2 linked regions of the Yarrowia lipolytica genome follow. The protein of the gene in region 1 binds, or shares a complex with, the protein of each later gene. Links are inferred from orthologs where the notes say so. Each region holds a gene or a part of one and is shown in the gene's direction. Other genes may lie near its edges.

Region 1 (10,536 bases):
CAGTTCATTGTTGACCTTTGCAGGCTTTAGTTGGAGGTTTACTTTACACTGAGGGTGACAATATCAGGAGTAGTGAGTTGTCTCCAGCATGGGGATGAAGGAGAATTTTTGGACAATGAAATATAGCAAGAAATCAGCAGAGGGATATGGATTCTAACGAAGAAGTTCCTGTCCTTTTTCAACCATTCGCGCAATATCACGATAGTCGGAATGTACATTCTGTATACTAAGATCGTCGATGTGAGACTTGAAACATGTCTTGTTACGCTGATACAACTTTGCTGGACATTTTTACACTCATTCATCCTCCATAATATCACTCCGAAATCAACTATTCGATACAGACGTCATCCTGAATGTACAGTTTGAAACACGGACTGTGAACTGGAGGTATCGCGCCAGACTGGAACCCTTGCTAAGCCTGTAAGTGAACTACAAACACTGGTCTCTTTTTCTCGCCACCTTCATTTACTATTTAGTCATTATCATAATATCATCACACAGAGCATCAAGTTAGGTACTCGAGAACCTGTAGTCCTCATGGCCTTCAATCCTGGTACTGTACTTTCATCTTACTTGTAAGTGTCCAGAACGTATCTGCCGGCAATCTTGCCCTCCTCCATCAGCTTGTAGACGGACTCCAGCTGGGAAAGACCCACAATAATAATGGGAGACTTGACAAGGCCCCGGGCGAAGAATTCAATGGCCTCCTGCGAGTCGGCTCGGTTGCCAACATAGGAACCCTTGATCTGAATGGATCGAGCCACTTGCTGGAAGATGGGCGACTTGCAGACAGCTCCAGCGGGCAGGCCGACCAGAACCACGGTGCCCAGAGTTCGCACGTACTCGACGGACTGGTTGACGGCAAACTCGGAGACAGACACGTTGATAACGGCGTGGGGTCCGCCCTTGGTGGCATCCTGGACGTCCTTGACCAGATCCTTGGACTTAGCAAAGTCGATGAAGACCTCGGCGCCGAGCTCCTTGCACATCTTCTCCTTGTCGGCGCCGGTGTCAATGGCCAGCACTCGGTAGCCCATGGCCTTAGCGTACTGGACGGCCAGAGAACCGAGGCCTCCTCCAGCTCCGGTAACGGCGGCCCACTCACCAGCCTTGAGGCCAGCGGTCTTAAGAGCCTTGTAGACGGTGATGCCGGCGCAGAGAATGGGAGCAATCTGGGCGAGGTCGCAGTTCTTGGGGATATGGGCTGCCTGGACAGCGTTGGCAGTGGCGTACTGCTGGAACGAGCCGTCGTGGGTGTATCCCGACATGGTAGCTTTAGGACAGTTGGGCTCGGCAGACACCTGGCAGAACTCACAGGTGTAACAGGCCTTGTTAATCCACTTGATACCGGCGTAGTCGCCGATTTCGAAGGTGGTCACGTTCTTGCCCTTGGCCACGACAACTCCGGCGCCCTCGTGGCCGCCAATGAGAGGAAGTTTGGTGTCAAGAGGCCAGTCGCCCTTCCAGGCATGGAGGTCAGTGTGGCACACTCCGGAAAACTTGACGTTGACGAGAATCTCGTCGTCGGCAGGAACAGGCACAGGCACGTCCTTGTACATGAGAGGACCGCCGGAGGTCTCGAAAATGACAGCCTTCTGGGTCTTGGGGATGGTGGTCATGGTGAAGAGATGGTAGTTGGTAGTAGTTTGGAAAAGTGTTGTTGTGAGAGTAGCTGAGAGCTGGTGTTGAATTGAGGACCACTCAGCCACTATATATATACCTGTAGAATCCCTCACACACAACACTGGGTTCCAAATCAGTCTCTTCCCTACTCCCAGGCATCTCCACACTCCCGAGAGAGAGGGGAAAGAAATTCGACTGTGGGGAGGGGTGCATGACAAGTGCAACTGAGATGGGAGTCAAAATATGGGTGTACGGAAGTGAACAGAATGAGACATTGTCTACTTGTACACTACCACTGATTTGACTGTTTTTTTCATAGTCTCGCTAAAAATGCTCGTAATTCGAAATTATGACATTTTCTCTTGTTTTTGTGGTCATATCAATATATCAGCTCTGTTTGTTTTTTATCCGTTTTTTTTCTTCTTTTGTTTTCATCTGTCTTTTTCTTTTTTTTGTTCTATTGTTTTCCGGGTATCTTTGAGACAACCTGCACCCCACTCCAATAACGGCTCATGCGCATACTCGGAACGCAGTGTCGTAATTAATATCATTCTTGTCTGACCACAGCAAGCTACAATGTTCTCTCTACTCTGTCTCAGGGGTTGCTACACTGCAAACAATCCTAGCAGTTCCTCAAAACAGTCTACATAGTACAAGTAGGTGCTGTACTTGCACACCACCAAAATCTAATATACATTGATAAATATACAGGCTCAGATGAACCATGCGTCTTCCACATGTCCGCTGTACCCTTCCATGCACCATGATACGTGATTCCCCTCGATGCTTCCCTTCATCCATTGATTGGAGCCGAAGAGAAGGTCAGAGGCGCATTCAGAACCCTTACGCTGAAACAAAGAGCGCAGAGGTGAAGATGTGCAGAGAAAGTAAAGCTGGATGGTTGTTCAGAAACAGTGAAAGCACGAAGAATGTCGGTGTCGGTGCCCAGCGCCTCGCTTGGCTCGTACTCGGGCGATTTCGAACACTCCCTCGCTCGTATTTGATTATGCTTGTCGCTCTGCTTTGAACATGACCTGCAACACATAATCCCTGCGATCCTTATCCCAATGGTTCCAAAACTTACTCGGATGCTGATCCAGCTCCTTCGCAGGGATCTTGAAAGCAATTGTCTCATACGGCTCAGCCGCAATCAACAGATACTGAAACCTTCTGTCTGCCGGAACGTCCACCTTTTGCTCGAACGCAGACATGAATCTGTATCTTGGGGTGACTCCCGTGCCAATCTCTGCAAAGTTGATCTGCATAAGCAGACCCAGCTGCTTGGTCAGCGGGTCCTTCACCTTGGTGATCTTGTAACCGGGACGGCCGATTTTGAGCGCAGATTTCTTAATGTGGATTTTGTTGGCTCCGGATAGTTCCCGGTTCTGCTCCCTGGGTCCATCTCGACTCTGAGCTCCTCTCTTGGCTAAGTTTTGTTGATGCCGCTTGCCTTGGGTGTGGGAGAGATAGCTACCGTCGGTCACATGACTGGTGAGGCAGAGGCGACATTCAAAGTAGCCCAGGTGGTTCTTGAAAATGTATGGGTCTTTGGAAATGTCGAGCTGTTCACTAGCGAGTTTTCGGAGCCGTTCTCGTCGGTGAAGATTGGCTTGAGATTCAGAGGCCATTCCGCCGCCTGAGTTAGTATTGCTAGTGAATGACCCGATAGACGGTGGTCGTTTTAGCACGGTAGGGGCGGACAGGACAGAATGTGTCATGTCCAGCTCTCAAATACGTTAGACGACCCAGGCCATCTCCAGCGAGATGGCTCCATCCGCATGAAAAAAAAAGCCAGAATCAACAGGTTGCATCATGGTGAACAGCTCCTGAATGGCTACCAGACATAAGTTTGAGTAGCAGCAAGAAAACAGTTCAGTGATCATCAGAGTCATGTCTAACACTGCTACACAGAACTCCAATCATGTCCAGCTGAATGTGTTCATCACGTGAGCCTTCCTCGCATCTCCATACTCACCTCCTTTTTTCGATCCCACTCGATTTTGCATGTCCATTTTGCCGGATGTTGTGTGCTGTCTAACGTGTACTGGTCGTACTTTTTTTTAAGTGCTGGTCTGCAGTCAGTTATCAAAAGTTTATTTGAAGGTGGAGGGTTGTTAGACGGTTGTTGGACTGGTGTTCCAGGAGAGTTTTGGGAATTATAAAAGTTGGTTTTTATTTTTTGTGGCACACACACTGCTCTTGAACTCTCACTTTCTCAATATATCTGGCATTACCAGCTCCAGGCCGATTGTCAATCGTCTGTTGTGGCCCTACATCTACTTATTAACTATTACAATAACTCTAAATATTGGACCAACATGAAACTCTACTTTTTTCCACCATACGCGGTGGCACTGAACAGACAGAAACACTCAGAGCGGATCTGAACGCCTCCAGAAACAACAAACACATACGAAACACAACCAGGAGGATCACCCATATAGCACTTATTGCTGGAATCACGTGACTACAAGCGCCGCAACAATCAAGACCACCAGACAGCGTCACTCTTGAGCCGACACGACAGAAGCGGCTACAAGATCTCTGAGACGAGAGGTCCCGCTCAGATTACGTGAGAAGGAACCACGATACTCTCACAATCCACAAACGCGCACATTTTGAACACGTCGTCCGCTACAGTTATCTCGTCACTTGACTCAGAGCACACCAACGACCGCCGTTATGGACAACTCCCTCCTGGGCATCCACAACGCCTATGGCAAGCCGCGGGAAGAAATCCCGCACCAGGAATTCCACTCGGATCTCGATCTTACCGAGAAACTCGATTGTTATACGGACGACCAGAGTTATCGAGAACCGCCTCCAAATCCGCGTCTGGACCCAACAGTGAGACTCAACAAGGCCAGTTTCACCCTTCTGCCCATGGACGAGTTTGATCTGGACGTGACGCCCGCGCTGGAACAGATAGGATACCAGATGACTGAAGAGTTTACCTTGCCTGATGAATACATGCAAGAACAGCCCGAGGTGGAAGGGGTGGAATATGATATGGACGAGCAGGATGCTTTTTTCATGGATATGGTTACGGAACAGTGGCCACCCGCCGAAGATAGCAGAGATTCCGGTGAAAGTGGTGCCGATGGTGCTCCCGATACCGATCAAGCTGTTGCTTCAGACTCAGCTACTTCACCACCACCTTCATCACCCACATACAACGCCGATGGACAACTCATTCTCCGAGGATACACACCGGAACCGCCACAAGGACCGTTTCCGCCGACTCACGAAATGTTTGAATACGTGGTTACTCTCATAGAACGCCACTGGTTCTCGCTGGCATCTTCCATGCCTCCAAAGCCGCCCCAGACACACGACGAAATGGACTCGCTGGATGACCAAGCATGTTGCATCTGCGGCGAGTCCGAGTGTGACAACTCTAACGCCATTGTATACTGCGACGGCTGCGATATGGCGTGTCATCAGGAATGCTACGGAGTGACCCACATTCCTGAGGGCCAGTGGCTGTGTCGAAAATGCAGCTTCTCACGTGCGCGACGACGAAACAAGAAGGGAACGTGCATCTTTTGTCCTTCCCAGGTTGGAGCATTCAAAATGACCACGCAAAAGAACTGGGGACATGTTATTTGCGCGTTGTGGATCCCCGAAATCAAGATTGGTGGTCGCAACATGGAGCCCATCAGTCACGTCCGTGACGTCCCCCGTAGCCGCTGGAAGCTACATTGTTACATTTGCAAGCAGCGCATGGGTGCATGTATCCAATGTGCACGGGGCAGCTGTGTGCAGGCCTTTCACGTGACCTGTGCCAGACGAGCAGGTCTACAGATGGAAATGCTCCATGGCGTTCAGGGCGCAATTTTTGATGCAGGATCTATGAGAGCGTATTGTCACAATCATGGAGGAGACGACGACACTCTAATGAGGATAAAGGCGCTGCGAAAGTGGTTTGCCGAGAGGTATGATGGTAAAGGTAGGAGGAAGGCCATTGAGGACGTTGCTACTACGACAGAGTCCTCTGAACTTGGTAGCGAAGCTCCTACTCCGGGAGGTGGGGAGGGAAATGTGGCTACGACAACGGTCGAAGACGTTGTTAGTACCCCTGTGGACACGCCTGTCGAAATGGGCACCTCACAGACCCCTCAGCCAGCTACTCCTTGTGGAGAGGAAGGCAGGGACTTCCCAACTCCCTCAGAAGCAGATCAAACAGTTGTTACTGAGGTCTATCCCACCTGGAAAACACCCGCAGGTACTCCTCTTCTGCCCAAAGTCATCATCGACCGCATCTGTGATGCTTTGGAGCCGTTCAAGATCTCGCACTGTCGCAAGTTTGTGACTATGGTGGCCCGGTACTGGGCTCTGAAGCGGGAGTTCAAACGGGGCGCTGCGCTCATCAAACGGCTCAATATCGCTCTGGAAAACTCGCAAGCTGTGGCCTCCACTCAACTCGAGTCTGTGGAGGACAGACAGAAGCGATACAGAGACATGATTGTCCTGATAAACGAGCTGGAGCGAATCAAGGTGCGGGTAAAGCTACTTGCTGAACGAGAATCCGTCAAGCTGGATTATCTCAAGGTCCAGGGTGAGCTCATCCGAACGCTTCTCCTGCCTGTTACAGCCCTATGTCTCAGGCTGTGCGACGAGATGACCGAGCAGGATTCCAATGGGTACTTTCTGGAGATTCCCGAGATTCCGGGTTACAGAGAGGTGGTCGAATGCCCCATGTCCATGACGGAGATTCGGGAAAAGACCCTGAATCTGGAGTACGACCATGTGGCCCAGATGCTGCCAGACTTCGAAGTCATGTTTGACAATGCGTTTGTCTACAATGATAGTGAAGCTCCTGTGTGTGTGGAGGCCACGAGATTAAGGGGCGTGGTGAGAGGGCTGGTGGAAGAATACACGGAGAAGGAGAAGGAGAAAGAGTACCAGAGGTGTTTTGGGGAGGGGGAGAAAGGGGAGGTAGGGAAGGAGGTGAGAGAGGCGCAGAAGAGGCCGTTCACTGCTATTGAGTAGACTGCGAGGTGAGTGTGCAGCTCTCACCGAACGGACCAGGGTGAAATGAGTGTGTAACTCTTTTGTATTGGACCTATTAGGCAAGCATGCGTTGCCGCTCTAACCGTCTACACTTGTACTAATATTATTTATGCGATATTCTGTACAGTCTACGTAGCCTCTGGGGTTGTACATCAGTGGCTACCATTGCTAATGATAAGAGACCTGAAAACGTACAACATAGTGCACATTCCCAATGACCAGGGTCCATGAAAAGTATCTAATCGATTCACGAGCTGGCGCTGAGTCGATGGTGTAAAAATCATGCAGCTTGCGATGGTTTACAATTAATACAACTCGCAGTAGCACCAACAGCGACCTACTCTAACTAATCATCAAGTAATAGTGAGAGTTGGATTAAGTAAAACATCCACTATAGTACATACTATACAACACGGACTGAACCAGGTTTTTTTATGATTTTTTTACTGGAAATGTCGTCCAAAGTTGGACATGACACAAAGTGGTTAATTGTATATCGTGTAACTGCATTCTTCAAAGGTTATTTTTCACGGCAAAGTTTATAATTAAAGGTATAAAAAAAAAAAAAAAAAAAAAAAAAAAAACTGTACATACTGTACTTCTGATAGCCAATTTTGTAGGGAAACTGATAAAAATCTCCCTAATGTCTATGTATCTAGCTAACTATTGCCACAGGCAGTTCTTGATCTCTACTTGTACTGTTCTATAAGTAATGGGCACCAGCTATATTTTGGTACAAGTACGATTGGGCGTGTCAGTGACTTCCGTTACTTTGGTCTCCGAAACAGCCGCGGAGGCTGGATCTGGAGTACAAGTATGTACTTATATTAAAAACCAAGAATTTGGGGTCGGTGGGGGTTCTATGAGACCATGTGGGAGCTTTCATTTTTCTTGTCAGTTCAAGTCAGTACAAGTACCATAATACAGTATGTATTGTAATTGAACTCGAGAATACACGAGCTAAAAGGGGTTCATATAATGGTGCCCAAAGTTGATGTCAAAGTTTCAGATTATGCAATAATAGGGAATATTCCGCTTAGGTAAACGCCTACTGGTACTAAATCACGTGATATATCCATTCACCTGATCAATATCGCATTTCCACTGACGTTTAGTCAGTTCATGCGCGACACTTGAAACAATGGAGTAAATTTCATGCATGTATATTTCACCTTGCATACAGTACTACACTATCACCAACTCAACAACACCACACAACATGTCTTCTAACGACGCGACTTCGGACGATACAGACGCCACGGTCGAAGAAGACTTCAAACGGGAGCCCGAGACAGCTGCCAACCTCGAGAGCAACCCTCCTAGCGATCCGCCGGTTGAGAATGAAGAGGCGAGTGACAGTGACGAGCCTAGTGGTGGATTTTCATACTCTTTGTTGAAGAAGAGTGTTCCTATGAAAGAGAACCAAGCGGAGACAGCAAAGCCCGAATCTGTGATGAAATCCGACCCGGTTGTCAAAGCTGAGCTGCTCACGTCCGAGGCAGGATCAGCCACGCCCTCGGCTACTGAATCGCCTCGAGAAACGCCCTCCGATCTGATGTCTCCCGACCCCGATCACATTCCCAGCAAGTCTTCCAAGCGGCGTCAACCGAAACCCAAGAGCCGTCCTGCTCCGAAAAAGAAGCTGAAAGTCGCCGTTGCGAAGGACTACAAGTTGCCCCCCGGTGCTCCACCCGTTGACACCAGTCACCATGGCGACGAAGATCACCAGGATCTATTTTGTGTGTGCAGACGACCTGACGACGGAAAGTGGATGATTGGATGCGATTACTGCGAAGAATGGATCCATGGAAGCTGTGTGGGTATAACTCCAGCCAGAGCAAAACTCATGCACAAGTTCTGCTGTCCTTACTGCACACACAAGGCCGAAAAGATGCGTCCCGGCGAAGAGGCCACGGTGGCCCATCAGATGACGCTGAAACACGGCACAGAAACCACCTGGAAGCGCGTTTGTCGACTGGAAGAGTGCCACAAGGCTGTCTCATACCCCAGCAAGTACTGCTGCAGAGAACACGGTCTGGAGTACATGAAGGGCAGAGTGGCTGCTCTCAGCACCAACAGCAACTCAAGTGTGGCTGACGACACTGAGGAGCCGTTTGGAAAGCTTTCCGAGGAACGTCTAGCTGCTATCGTCCAACAGACTCCCAACCTGGCTGCGTTCAAGACTCTAGGCTCGACTACTCCCGTCGAAGCGTCTCCTGTGACTCCTAAACAACCCTCCACGCAGCTCAAGTTTGTGGAACAAAAGCTCAAGTACATGACTCTGGTCAAGGACCGAACCAAGAGTCTCAGTGAAGAGGCCGCTACAGCCGCGGGAGTAAGAAAGAAGGATTTATGTGGCTACGATTCGCGTCTGGACAAGGATCATGACATCTGGGCGAATGAATTTGCTGCCCAGGATGAACTGGTGGGTATTGCCATGAGTGATGATACTAGTAAGACAGTCACTCCTTCCCACGATGCTCTACACAACAAGGAACACATTTGCTTGCAGGACAAGCGGAAATGCTATAACCATCTAGGCTGGGCTGCTCTGATTACCGACCGGCTGAATTTGCAGCTGGCTATTCTCCAGCGGGAAATGGAGAGAAGCGAAGGCGACGAGGCCGATCTGAAGGAGATTGAGCGGCTGAGAAGCGTTGAGAGAAAGACGTGGATCAAGTGAGAGGCGGGTGTGAAGAGAGTCTGATTTGGAAGAGGTCAGAAATGTACTTTTAGATATTATTTATTGGAGTTACAGTACTTGTGAAAAAGTGAATCTCAGAGAAGATTATTGGGGATACACCTATGTACTCGTACAACAACTCGTACAAGTACATAAAATGATGTCTGTCCAGATTCTTCTGGTGAGGATACCCCAGCAAAGGTGCTAACTCCTCACTCCAGATTCTCAGCTATTTGTAGATTTAAGCGAAACATATACTTACAATTATACTTAGGTTTAGTTGAGGAAGGAGCCACCATAAACATACACCAATTGTAACCTCAAATGTCTTTACAGAGAGATATTCAGTAGGAAAATCGTTACATCTGTGCCGAAAGTAGAGGAGCCACAAATTTACTTGTATTTGACAACTACGGAACACGATATGACATCTCTCACTTTGTCAGCATCTCCCCACCATTTCCGGATTCTGCAATTAAGCTTGCATGAGATCACGCTTCAGATCTGAATCAGTCACACTCACCACCTCCATCAACAATGAGAGCTGTTATCCAGAGAGCCAAGAGCGGATCGGTGACAGTCGATTCGAAGATTGTCAGTCAGTGAGTATAGCAGGCGAAGAGCCACCGGAACCGGGGAGCATGCTCTGAGGAGACGGCCCATATGATACGAGAAGGGCAACGGTGGGACTACAGAAGGACGGATAGACAACAGAAGGAAACAAGACGAGACAGCGGGTACCATTCACAAGGGTTTTCAGAACGGACGGAAAGACCAATGATTCTACAGGCCCCCAGAAACAACGAGTTCTCGCCTCATATTCGTTCTATGAGCAGTCTTAATCAACTGCCTGAGACTCTTCACTTCTGTCACACTCCATTACTATTGGATCAATTGTTGTCCACTCGGATTCTCCATCCTGGCCACCGTGCTTTCGGGCCCGCTAACACAGAATCTCCCACGGGCTAGTTGTTCTTATCGGAGTGGGCCATGAAGATACGGCAGAAGACGTGGAGAAGGTCGCCAACAAAATCATCAAGACCAAACTTTGGCCCTCGGTCGATGGAGCACAGCAATGGAAACAGAGTGTGCTCGACGTTGGTGGAGAAGTGCTCTGTGTTAGTCAGTTCACTTTGTTTGCCAAGGTCAAGAAGGGCCAGAAGCCAGACTTTCACAATGCCGCCAAGGGCCCACAGGCTAAGGAGCTCTACGAC
Region 2 (9,901 bases), on another chromosome or scaffold:
GAGGAGCGCGTGTTCGGCGTGTCATGCCTACTGGGAATATGGTGAACTTTACCCCCTTTCTTATGTTTGATCATTTCAAGGTGCCCTCTTCTGCTGGTTTCCCAGACCATCCTCATCGAGGCCAGGAGACTATCACCTATGTGGTTGATGGATCCGTCGACCACGAGGATTTCACTGGTAGCAAGGGTACTCTTAATGCCGGAGATTTACAATTTATGACTGCTGGACGAGGTATAGTGCATGCTGAAATGCCTTCTGCGGGTCCTAATGGAGAGGTCCGAACTGTGGAGGGTATCCAGCTGTGGGTGGACCTACCCAAGGAGCTCAAGAACTGCAAACCTCGGTACAGAGATCTGAGAGCCGCTGAGATTCCTATTGCCAAATCGGATAGCGAGGATCTCACTGTCAAGGTGATTTCTGGCAAGTCTATGGGCGTCGATTCCGTCAAAGATCTTGCGTATACTCCTGTCTGGTTCCTTGATTTCGAATCTTCCAAGCAGTACAGCGGACGAGAGGTCAACCAGGATATACCTGAGGGCTTCAACTCGCTGTTATATGTCATGAAAGGCACAGCTACCGTCAACGGCAAGAAGATCAAGCAGCATGATGTGGTTATATTCAAGAATGGAGGAGACTCTATCGACTTCATCCCTGGTCCTTCCTCAAGAGTCATTGTCATTGGAGGAAAGATTCTGGAACAGCCCATTGTCCAGCATGGTCCCTTCGTTGCAACCACCAGAAAGGGCATTGTCAAGGCCTTTGAGGACTACCAGACTCGAACTCATGGTTTTGAGCAGGCCAAGGGTTGGTCTTCCGAAATCGGTAAGCGGATGAAGCTGTAGGCCCACGAGTCTACAGTACGAATACCGGTACGTAGTCACCGAAGTCCCTTACTAACCTTTTTATATACCTACATAGCATAAATATAAATGAACTATCAATAGCCTATCTAAAACTATCACCACGTGTAGCCTTATATTTCTGGGGCATGAGCTGAGTCGCCATTCCGCTACCCCCTTATCCCTTCATATGACGGACATGAAAAGAAACCTCATATCACAAACAGCCCCTTACGCTCACGCTCCAGAAAGTCACGCAGCTTACATTTGAGATGCAGCGCTTCCAATAACACTATCGTTGCCACCACAACGAAAGTGGCAAGACGGCTCTTCCAGTATTTTCCAGAAGCATTTTAGTAGGGCAAACGAAAACGAAAGCAGAACTAAAGAGAAATTTCCTTTACATCTACGGATAATTTTTTCCTTGTCAAGCTCCCAAGACCTGTACCGTGCTCACATTCTGATCAGATGTAAAACGCCACTTGAGTTGTTACTCTGTGCTGTGTTTGGCACGGTTATACTTTCAAGTACAAGTAGGAGACATTGTTTGTATGGGGTATGGAGAGTACTCAGTCACTAAAAAACTAGCCATAGGACACAGAGATGATGGTAGTATCAAAAATCGTCACTCACGTGGCCACTGCCTCACAAACCCATAATCACCCTCCAACTTCCTGCTAAAACACCTAGACCTGTTCCGCCCCCTTGAAATAGGGTTTAAGACACGTGACCATACGCCTCTTCACGCAGGTTGTATATATACATCCGCAGTACGTAGCACCTCTTCGCTAACAATGACTCGACACAGCATGGAATCCAACGACTCGAACGACGTGTTATTCGACGCGCCCTCCAGTCCACGTGACGCTCTGGCTGCGGCTTTTGGAAGCGACTCAGATTCGGACTCGGATGATGAACATCATCTCCAGAGCGGAGGACGGATGGGACGTAGCTACAACCAGGTCGACACCAGCACACAAGATGATGACGACGACCTGAACCATGACGACGATGGAGGAGCTACTCTGGAGGAGCTGGCGCAGACGGAAGACCCCCAGTACGACAGAAGCAACTATGCAGACGACCGGTTAGGGGGCTCCAACAACAACGGAGGCCATACCCGGATCCCTGGAGGTTTTCCTGAAGCTGGAAACACCGGTTCTGGATCGGGAGGCAACGCTGGCTCCGGGTCCGAGGGCTCCAACGTGTTTTCTACCGGCTTCTTCAACCGTCTATTCAACAGAGGTCAACTGCTGCCTACAACAGAACCTCCAGCATCATCTTCGCACGATGGTGTGTTTTCAAACACTCAGGCCAATGATGACGACGAAGATAAGCCCACTGACGAAACACCTCCTACCTACGAGGAGGCTGCTGCGGATGCCACTCCTCCTTACTGGGCAACCACTATTCTCCACCCTGGCTACGCGGAAGAGGTGTTTATCGACGGACTTCCCGTGGGCTCGCCCATTTCTTTTTTGTGGAACATGACTGTATCGTCCGTTTTCCAATTCATCGGTTTTGTTCTTACGTACCTGCTGCACACGTCGCACTCGGCCAAACAGGGCTCTCGAGCAGGCCTCGGACTCACAGTGTTCCAGATCGGCATGTACATGCGAAACAGCGGAGGAAACCCCACTACAGACTACTCGTCAGTACCTGCACACCAATTTGTGCCCTCAGACCCCAACAACTTCGATGTACCCGGTTACGGATCCAACATTCCGGGAAACGCAGTCATTCCGACCATGGAGCATGTGGACCCCACGGTGCAGGAACAGGAGCGGGCCGCTCATGAAAAGAATGTCTTCTGGTCAGGCATTATCATGGCGGTGGGAACTCTTGTCATTCTCAAAGCTCTGTGGGACTACTGGCGTGCTCGACGAATGGAGTTGATTGTTCTTCAAACTCCCCAGCACGTAGTGACGGAAGAAGATACCCCCGAGACTGCTGTCTAGGAAAGGAGGGAAGCAAATAGACTAACTTGGCCCCCGTCAGGAAGGGGACCATTATTTATTAGACACTGCATGGCACATACTGTAATAGCATGATGGAGTACAAGCATCTGTATTGTAGACTGTTTCATATTGCGTTCATTTTTGTGAGACTAGAAGAGTATTTGATACAAGTACTAATATATTGATCAATGTAATAACGTACGCACGATGTTGTTTTCTGTTCATCTAGTCATTATGTATAAACGTCTAAAGAATCTCCATGATCTTCTCATAGATGGTAAAGACAATACCTCCGGAGAGAATGAGTCGTCCGAGACGGGGAGTGGCTCCCTTCCAGAAGGTCAACAGGCCCTCCTCCTTGAAGATTCGAGCAAAGCAGTGGAAGGTGCCTCGGTATTCCTTTTTGGCCTCCAACGATTGCATTCGGGTCTTGACGGTATCCAGAGGCATGGTGGTGTAAACAGTGACGATACCGGCAAAGGCACCGACAATGAATGTGGACAGAGACGAGAGAGGGGCCTTAGGGTCCTTCTGCCGGCTCTGAATGAACACCTTCATCCAGTTGTAAGATCCCAGGCGGACAGCCTGGTTCGCAGCCTGTCGCATGGTAACAGGGACAAGACCACGGTAGATACCGGAGAGGCCCTTGTCCTTGATGAGCTGTGCGGTTCCCTTGAACAGACCCTGGTACTTGGGATTCTTACTCTGTCGGTCGTCGATCATGGCTGTCTTGATGGTCTCAAAAGGAGTCACAGCGACGACGGACTCAAGCACACCGGCTCCCAGTCCCGCTAGAACTCCTCGAGGTCCGGACACCTTACCATCCTTGTCGGCCAGCAGGCCCTTGATTGCGTCGAAACCAAGGAACCGGACACCAGCCTTGACGGTATTGCCGACAATGAAAGCGGGGCAACCAGTGTACACTGCTCCGAGACCCTGGGTCTTGGCTGTGTTGTAGATGAGCACCAGAGGGTTTCTGGAGGCGGTGGATGACTTGTCAACGAGCTGGAGACGGGTCTTGGACCATTCGAAAGGGTAGGTAACGAGACCCTCCACGGCTCCGGCCGTAGAACCGGCTACCAGGGACTTCCAAGGTTCGGCCTGTGTTAGATCATGATGCTTGCTGGTAGTAGTTGTCGACTATGACTCATACTCACCTTCTTGGTATCTGATGAAACCATTGTCAATGTGTCTGTGTCTGTACTTTTCAGTGGGGGTGCTGTTGAACGGGCTCTGGATGTGTCAGTCCGTGTTTTTAGATCCGCTTAGTGTGGATATTTTTCACCTGAAAAGTCTCGAGGATAACTTCAGCCGTGTTTGACTCAAGATGCGCTTTAGGCTCCCAGCATGTCCGCTTCGGCCCGTGTATGCACACCAAAAGCTGGAGAAGCATTGGTGGAGGTTGTAGCAGTAGAAGATTATCTTGGTCCAATTTGTGGCATGGATGTCAAATTGATGTCACGTGAGTAGATTTCGAATATCGTATCGCTATTCACAAATGTCGATGTGCTCCATCTTGCCGTACCTAGAACATAAATGAGAGTACGTTCGCTTAAAAGCCAGATCAACTAATATGGATAGAATAACCAACTAAACTTCGTGAGTGTCCACGGCAGTGTTTACAGTGCTGGTATGTATGAAATAATTGTTTTGCTTCCGCATAATGGACAAAATTAATTTATATAAAACCAATGTTATATCTCTGATCCACAAATTCGCAACATTTCCTTTATCACTGTCGCGTTTGGCCGTATCTACAGTGTTTTTATGCTCACAGCTCTGCTAATTACAGTGTAATACAATCATGTCTTTGTTAATCGTCTCCTACATGAATCTATTTGAACGAGTTTTACCCTAAATAAACAGACGTTCTAGTTCCAATATTAATTCCATCTCTCTATTAGTACAGTAAATCTATTCCCTGTCACTCCGATGCCCAATGCATCCCCTCCACCATCTCACATTCACTCTTACCTCAATTAAGTTCACGACTCGACAGTCAGACATCACCACCTAAAGTTTCATCTACCATCACGTCCATCACCACACATCCAATGCCGTCACTAACGCCCCCCACAGCCAACGGAGCCGTCCAATCGTCGTCGGACGAAGTCACGTCCATCGTCATTGAGTGCGGCTCGTCATACACGCGTGTCGGCTTCTCGGGAGACGACCTCCCCAAGGTGGTCATCCCCACCAAATACGGCAAGTACACAAACGACAAGGGCGAAGATGTGTACGAATTCGGCCTGGAAAACGTGCATCGACCTGTAGCCGGCAAGGAAATCTACAGCCCCGTGCAGGACGGTTGCATCCAGGACTGGGATGGAGTGGCCAAGCTTTGGGAGTACGCCATCAAGGAAAAGCTCAAGGTGGACGACTTGAGCGAGTACCCTCTGGTGATCACAGAGCAGATGTGGAACTCGAGTGCAAGACGGGCCAAGATCGCCGAAATGTGCTTCGACAAGTTCCGGTCGCCTGCCATCAGCTTCGTGAAGAACCCTCTCTGTACTGCTTACGCTGCCGTGCGACCCAACTCCATCATTGTGGAGATCGGTTCGGCCGTGGCCAGTGTGTCTACCGTACTTGACGGCAATGTGGTAACCAAGGCCTCTTTCCACTCCAAGTTTGGAGGCGACTTTCTCAACTACCTGATTCTCGAGGAGTTCAAGCGAAAGCAGGTCGAGGTCATCCCCTCGTACCTGGTCAAGAAGAAGAAGGACATTAACGACCCCAACCCTTCTACATTCCTGCGAGAACTGCCCGGCATGACTGACTCGTACAAAAACTTTGAGATTGAGCGGGTGCTCGACAACTTCAAGGAAACCACCCTCCAGGTCAACTACCACCCCATCATGCCTCACACACCGCTGCCACCCAACATCCAGAGACCCTACGAATTTCCCGACGGAAGCACATACATTGCTGAGCAGGAACGATTTGGAATCGCCGAGTCGCTGTTCAGGCCCGTCGAGTTTGGACCCCCAGGTGTCGTGCCTGAGGGAACTCTCGGTATCTCGGAGCTCATCTACCATGCCGTGCTCAAGACCGACCCCAAAGCCGAGGTCCAGATGGAGCTACTTAACAACATTGTCGTTGTTGGAGGAACTACTCTGCTCAACGGTCTGACTGCCCGAATCCACCGGGACATGGCCCAGTTCTTCACCCAGTTCCATGTCAAGCAGCCCTACCTCTCGGTGACCTCCACCGAGCGAAAGTCGCTGGCATGGACCGGTGCCTCTGTTTTCGCTTCTCTCGGCAACTTTGGTTCTTCCTGGGTCATCAAGCAGGAGTATGAGGAACAGGGCGCCGATGTCATTGACAAGCGTTTCAAGTAGAGTAGCTGTAGCTAACGTGTATTATAATGGTATTGGATGTTTTGAATCATGCAGTATGTACTGTATCTACCAGTACGTATCTAGTTACTCGTAGTCTAATGTGTATAAAAAATCTTTGTTATATGTACATCACCTGTAGTTTTTCTTCGTCTACTCCTCGTCAAAGTCAGCCTCCTCAACAGCCAGCTCAACATCATCAAAATCACCCTCATCATCGTCGTCATCTTCCTCATCTTCCTCCTCCTCATCCTCGGCACGCTGCTTGGCTTCGTATTGCTTGTAGTATGCGGCCAGAGCGTCCTCTTCCTCCTCCTCGAGCTTGGGCTCCATATCCTCGGCCTTGACCTTGGGAGCCACTTCCTCCTTTTTAACACCCTCCTTTGTATCCTTCTTCTGGGGATAGTCATCGTCGTTACCAATCTCTGTGAATCCATGTTGCTCCTGGTCGGTATCCCCCATTACCATCTGTCGACCAACAGTAGACTCCATGTACCATGCGGGAAGGGCGTTCTGTTCGGCCAGCTTAGCCTTCTCATCTCGCTGGGCAGCCTCGTCCTCTGCACCCGTGGAAAGGTTGACGGTGAGAGTGGAGCTTTTGTTGGAGCCCGTCTGGGACGAAGTAGTGCCTCTGCCAGCAGTCTTGATAGAAGAGGTGCTTCCTGCAGTGACCTCCAGCTGTGCGGGAACCGCCTTGGCAAGCGACGTCTCAAAGGTGTTTTCGGCCACCTGGATGTCGTCTATCTTTCGTAGCTCGTCTATAATGGGCTTGATTTGCTGCATGAGCTTTTCCAGTCGGTCCTGGTGCACTCTGGATTCGTCACTGGTGGTATCTTCGACAATCACGGTAGAACAGACATCACAGGTGAAAGTGCCGTCCATTTGCACGTTGGTGACGGCCTCGAGGGTAGTGAACTTTTTGGTACACAGCGGACACACGTATCCCTGTGGCTGGGATTTCTTTCCAAGCGCCTCCTCTGCCTGCTTGTTCATGGAGTGCACCTTCCACTTGATGGCATCGATAGTCACAGTGTAGTGGATGTAGTAGTACGTCTTTTGGTAATTTTTGTTGTAGCCGTATGTGTTTTCCTGCTGCTCGCGCTGGGTGTGATCCTTGAGCAGCTTGTCGTCCTTGAGCTTTGCGCAAATCTGTCGAATCTCCTTGGCCGGAATGCTCAGCAGCTGGTGCAGTTCCTCGTCTGAAAGCACCACATGCTTGAGCAGCGCGTCCATCACCAGGATGGACTTTGTGTCGTAAAAGCCTCGTGTAACGTACTGGAGGAGCCGCTTGATGTTGTCCATGCTGTGTTAATTTGTGGTGTTGGTTTTTTCTTGTGCCCGTCCCCGAAGCTGCTGTTGTATGCTACAGTACTGCCTGTTTTATCCCGATCAAAGTTAGTCAAACCGACTGAGAGTGCGTTCTTCCTGCATACTCCAACATGACGACGGATTTCGGCGGTGGCACAAAAAAAGTGAGAACCGAGCAGGAGGAGGACCTGGCGTCGGAGTTTCCTACGAAGCTCACGATAGACGCTCACTCCGCACCCTGCACGACGGCAAAAATCAGCCCAAACGGCAAACAGATTGCAACATGTTCTGCAGACGCGTCTATAAAGCTGTGGGACGCTGCTACTGGAGACCTGATACAGACGCTGAGAGGTCATCGAGCGGGAATCAATGACATCAGCTGGTCGCCTGACTCGAAGATGCTCGCCACAGCTTCCGACGATCGAACGATCCGAATTTGGTCCACACACCGACCTTCCAGTCAGCGTATCCTAGTGGGACACACCCACTATGTGACATGCGTCAAGTTCAATTATAAGGGCAACCTAGTGGTGTCCGGATCAGCCGATGAGAATGTCCGAGTGTGGGACGTGCTTCAGGGTCGGTGCATCATGACCCTGGCGGCCCACTCACAACCCATCTCGGCGGTCGACTTCTCATGCGAAGGAACCATGATTGTCAGTGGATCACATGACGGTCTTATCCGAATGTGGGACACTGCCACTGGCCAATGTTTGAAAACAATTGTCGGTGAAGAATCTTCACCCATCATGTTTGCCCGCTTCACTCCAAACTCCAAGTTCATCCTTGTCTCTAATATGGACTCCACTGCAAGGTTGTGGGACTACATGAACAATAAGGTGGTCAAGACATACAAGGGCCACGAGAATGGCAAGTACTGCTGTCCCACTGGCTTTGTGTATCGTCAGGATCGAGCCGTCCTTTTGCATGCCTCTGAGGACGGTCGCGTCTACGTGTACGATATACAGGATCGAACTGTGCGGGGCTCGTTTGACGCTCATCCGGGAGTTATTATTTCACTGGATGTTATTGATAACAAAATCGTTACCTGTTCATTAGATGGCTCAGTGAAGCTGTTTGAGCTGGTGGAAGAGAACAGCCCAAGTGACGACATGGATACTGATACCGAGGAGAATGGCTGCCGAACCAATAGCAGTGAGGAGCGGGACAACAGCAGAGAAAAGGAGGACGGCAATGGAGATGGTCATGGAGATGTTAGCATGAACAACGACTAGCACTGAATATGGTGCTTAAAACAACACGAAAGGTGCTGTCTACTACAAGCACACAGCATCTACGAATAAGTAATATAGAATAACAGCATAATGACTAAACGTACAGTAGCTACAGTAGGAGTACAGTGGCCACTCGAACGCACCTACATACCCCAGTTCAAACATGAACCGTTTAATTTATTTATATAATGCACTACCTAGTACAAACCACCTACGCCTGGAAAGCAACGTTGTCGACGTTTCCAGCCATGAGAGAAACAATGTTCTCCTCCAGTCTATCAGTAACAGCATCCTCAAGATGCTTCTTGGGGTCCTGCTTTCCGACATATCGAGTCTTGAGCTGGTCCTCGGTCATCTCCTGCTCCTCCTGCACTCGGTTGGTGTACTCAATGGCCAGTTTGACCATCTTCTGTGCAGCGTTGGCGTTGTTGCACTCCTGGGTCTCGTAGTTCTGGATCTCCAGACCAGAGGTCCAACTGCTCTTGTGCAGGTTCTGCAGCATCTTCTCATCCAGGGGAGTTTTCTTGTAGTTGATGTTAATGGAGTAGTAGTGTCGGTTCAGGCCGTGGATCAGGGCGTGGATTGTGGGCTTGTTAAGATGACCCACGTTGGAGGTCGACAATCGAGGCTCCTGGCCCAAAAGCACCGAGTTTGTGTTAATCAGTCGGAAGGCGTCAATTACAACCTTACCCTTGACCGACTGAATGGGATCCACCACCACTGCCACTGCTCGCTTGTTGAGCTGCTCAAACGATTGTTGGGTGTTGATATCCACAGACGACAGCCAGCAGCCGAAACCGGGATGTGAATGGTACCATCCGACGACCATCTGATCTCGACCGGTCTGTTTAAGCATATCCATCATTCGTGTTTGGAACACATCATCAACGGCCTCAACGGAGACACCAGTACCACTCTGGGGCATGGCAAACACATCAATGACATGAACTGTGTAGTCGTCCACAAACTCTCCCAGCATAAGTCCCATCTGTTGTTAGTATTGATTCGTTCAACCCATCCCCCTCGATCTGCTGTTGCCACCATTGTCACCACGTTGTGGCGTACAACAGCCATTGTCGAATAGCACCGCGTTCATTGCATACTCACCACTTCCATGGGGACACCAGCTCGTCCATGCTTCAGCATCTTCAAAAGAGCTAATGAGGAAATGTAGACAGTCTCTGAGTTGTCGACCACAGGTCCATCCTGTTGTTAGTACTATGTTT

Evidence for each region.
Region 2: YALI1_D34022g (region 1) and YALI1_F33791g share a complex: the UniProt entries of both Schizosaccharomyces pombe proteins name them as parts of the set1 complex. The link is inferred for Yarrowia lipolytica from reciprocal best matches to the Schizosaccharomyces pombe genes spf1 and swd3.

Annotation. Positions count from the first base shown.
Region 1 is NC_090773.1:3,394,395-3,404,930, forward strand, and holds YALI1_D34022g (uncharacterized protein), read left to right. Parts: upstream 1-7,798; coding exon 7,799-9,322; downstream 9,323-10,536. Other genes in the region: YALI1_D33961g (uncharacterized protein), read right to left, coding at 573-1,622; YALI1_D33978g (uncharacterized protein), read right to left, coding at 2,631-3,344; YALI1_D33988g (uncharacterized protein), read left to right, coding at 4,309-6,618; YALI1_D34043g (uncharacterized protein), read left to right, coding at 9,860-9,924, 10,275-10,536. UniProt on the Schizosaccharomyces pombe protein: The Set1 complex specifically methylates 'Lys-4' of histone H3.
Region 2 is NC_090775.1:3,371,591-3,381,491, forward strand, and holds YALI1_F33791g (uncharacterized protein), read left to right. Parts: upstream 1-7,571; coding exon 7,572-8,675; downstream 8,676-9,901. Other genes in the region: YALI1_F33714g (uncharacterized protein), read left to right, coding at 1-842; YALI1_F33732g (uncharacterized protein), read left to right, coding at 1,634-2,797; YALI1_F33754g (uncharacterized protein), read right to left, coding at 3,044-3,898, 3,955-3,978; YALI1_F33764g (uncharacterized protein), read left to right, coding at 4,852-6,135; YALI1_F33790g (uncharacterized protein), read right to left, coding at 6,286-7,434; YALI1_F33812g (uncharacterized protein), read right to left, coding at 8,887-9,663, 9,783-9,881. UniProt on the Schizosaccharomyces pombe protein: The Set1 complex specifically methylates 'Lys-4' of histone H3.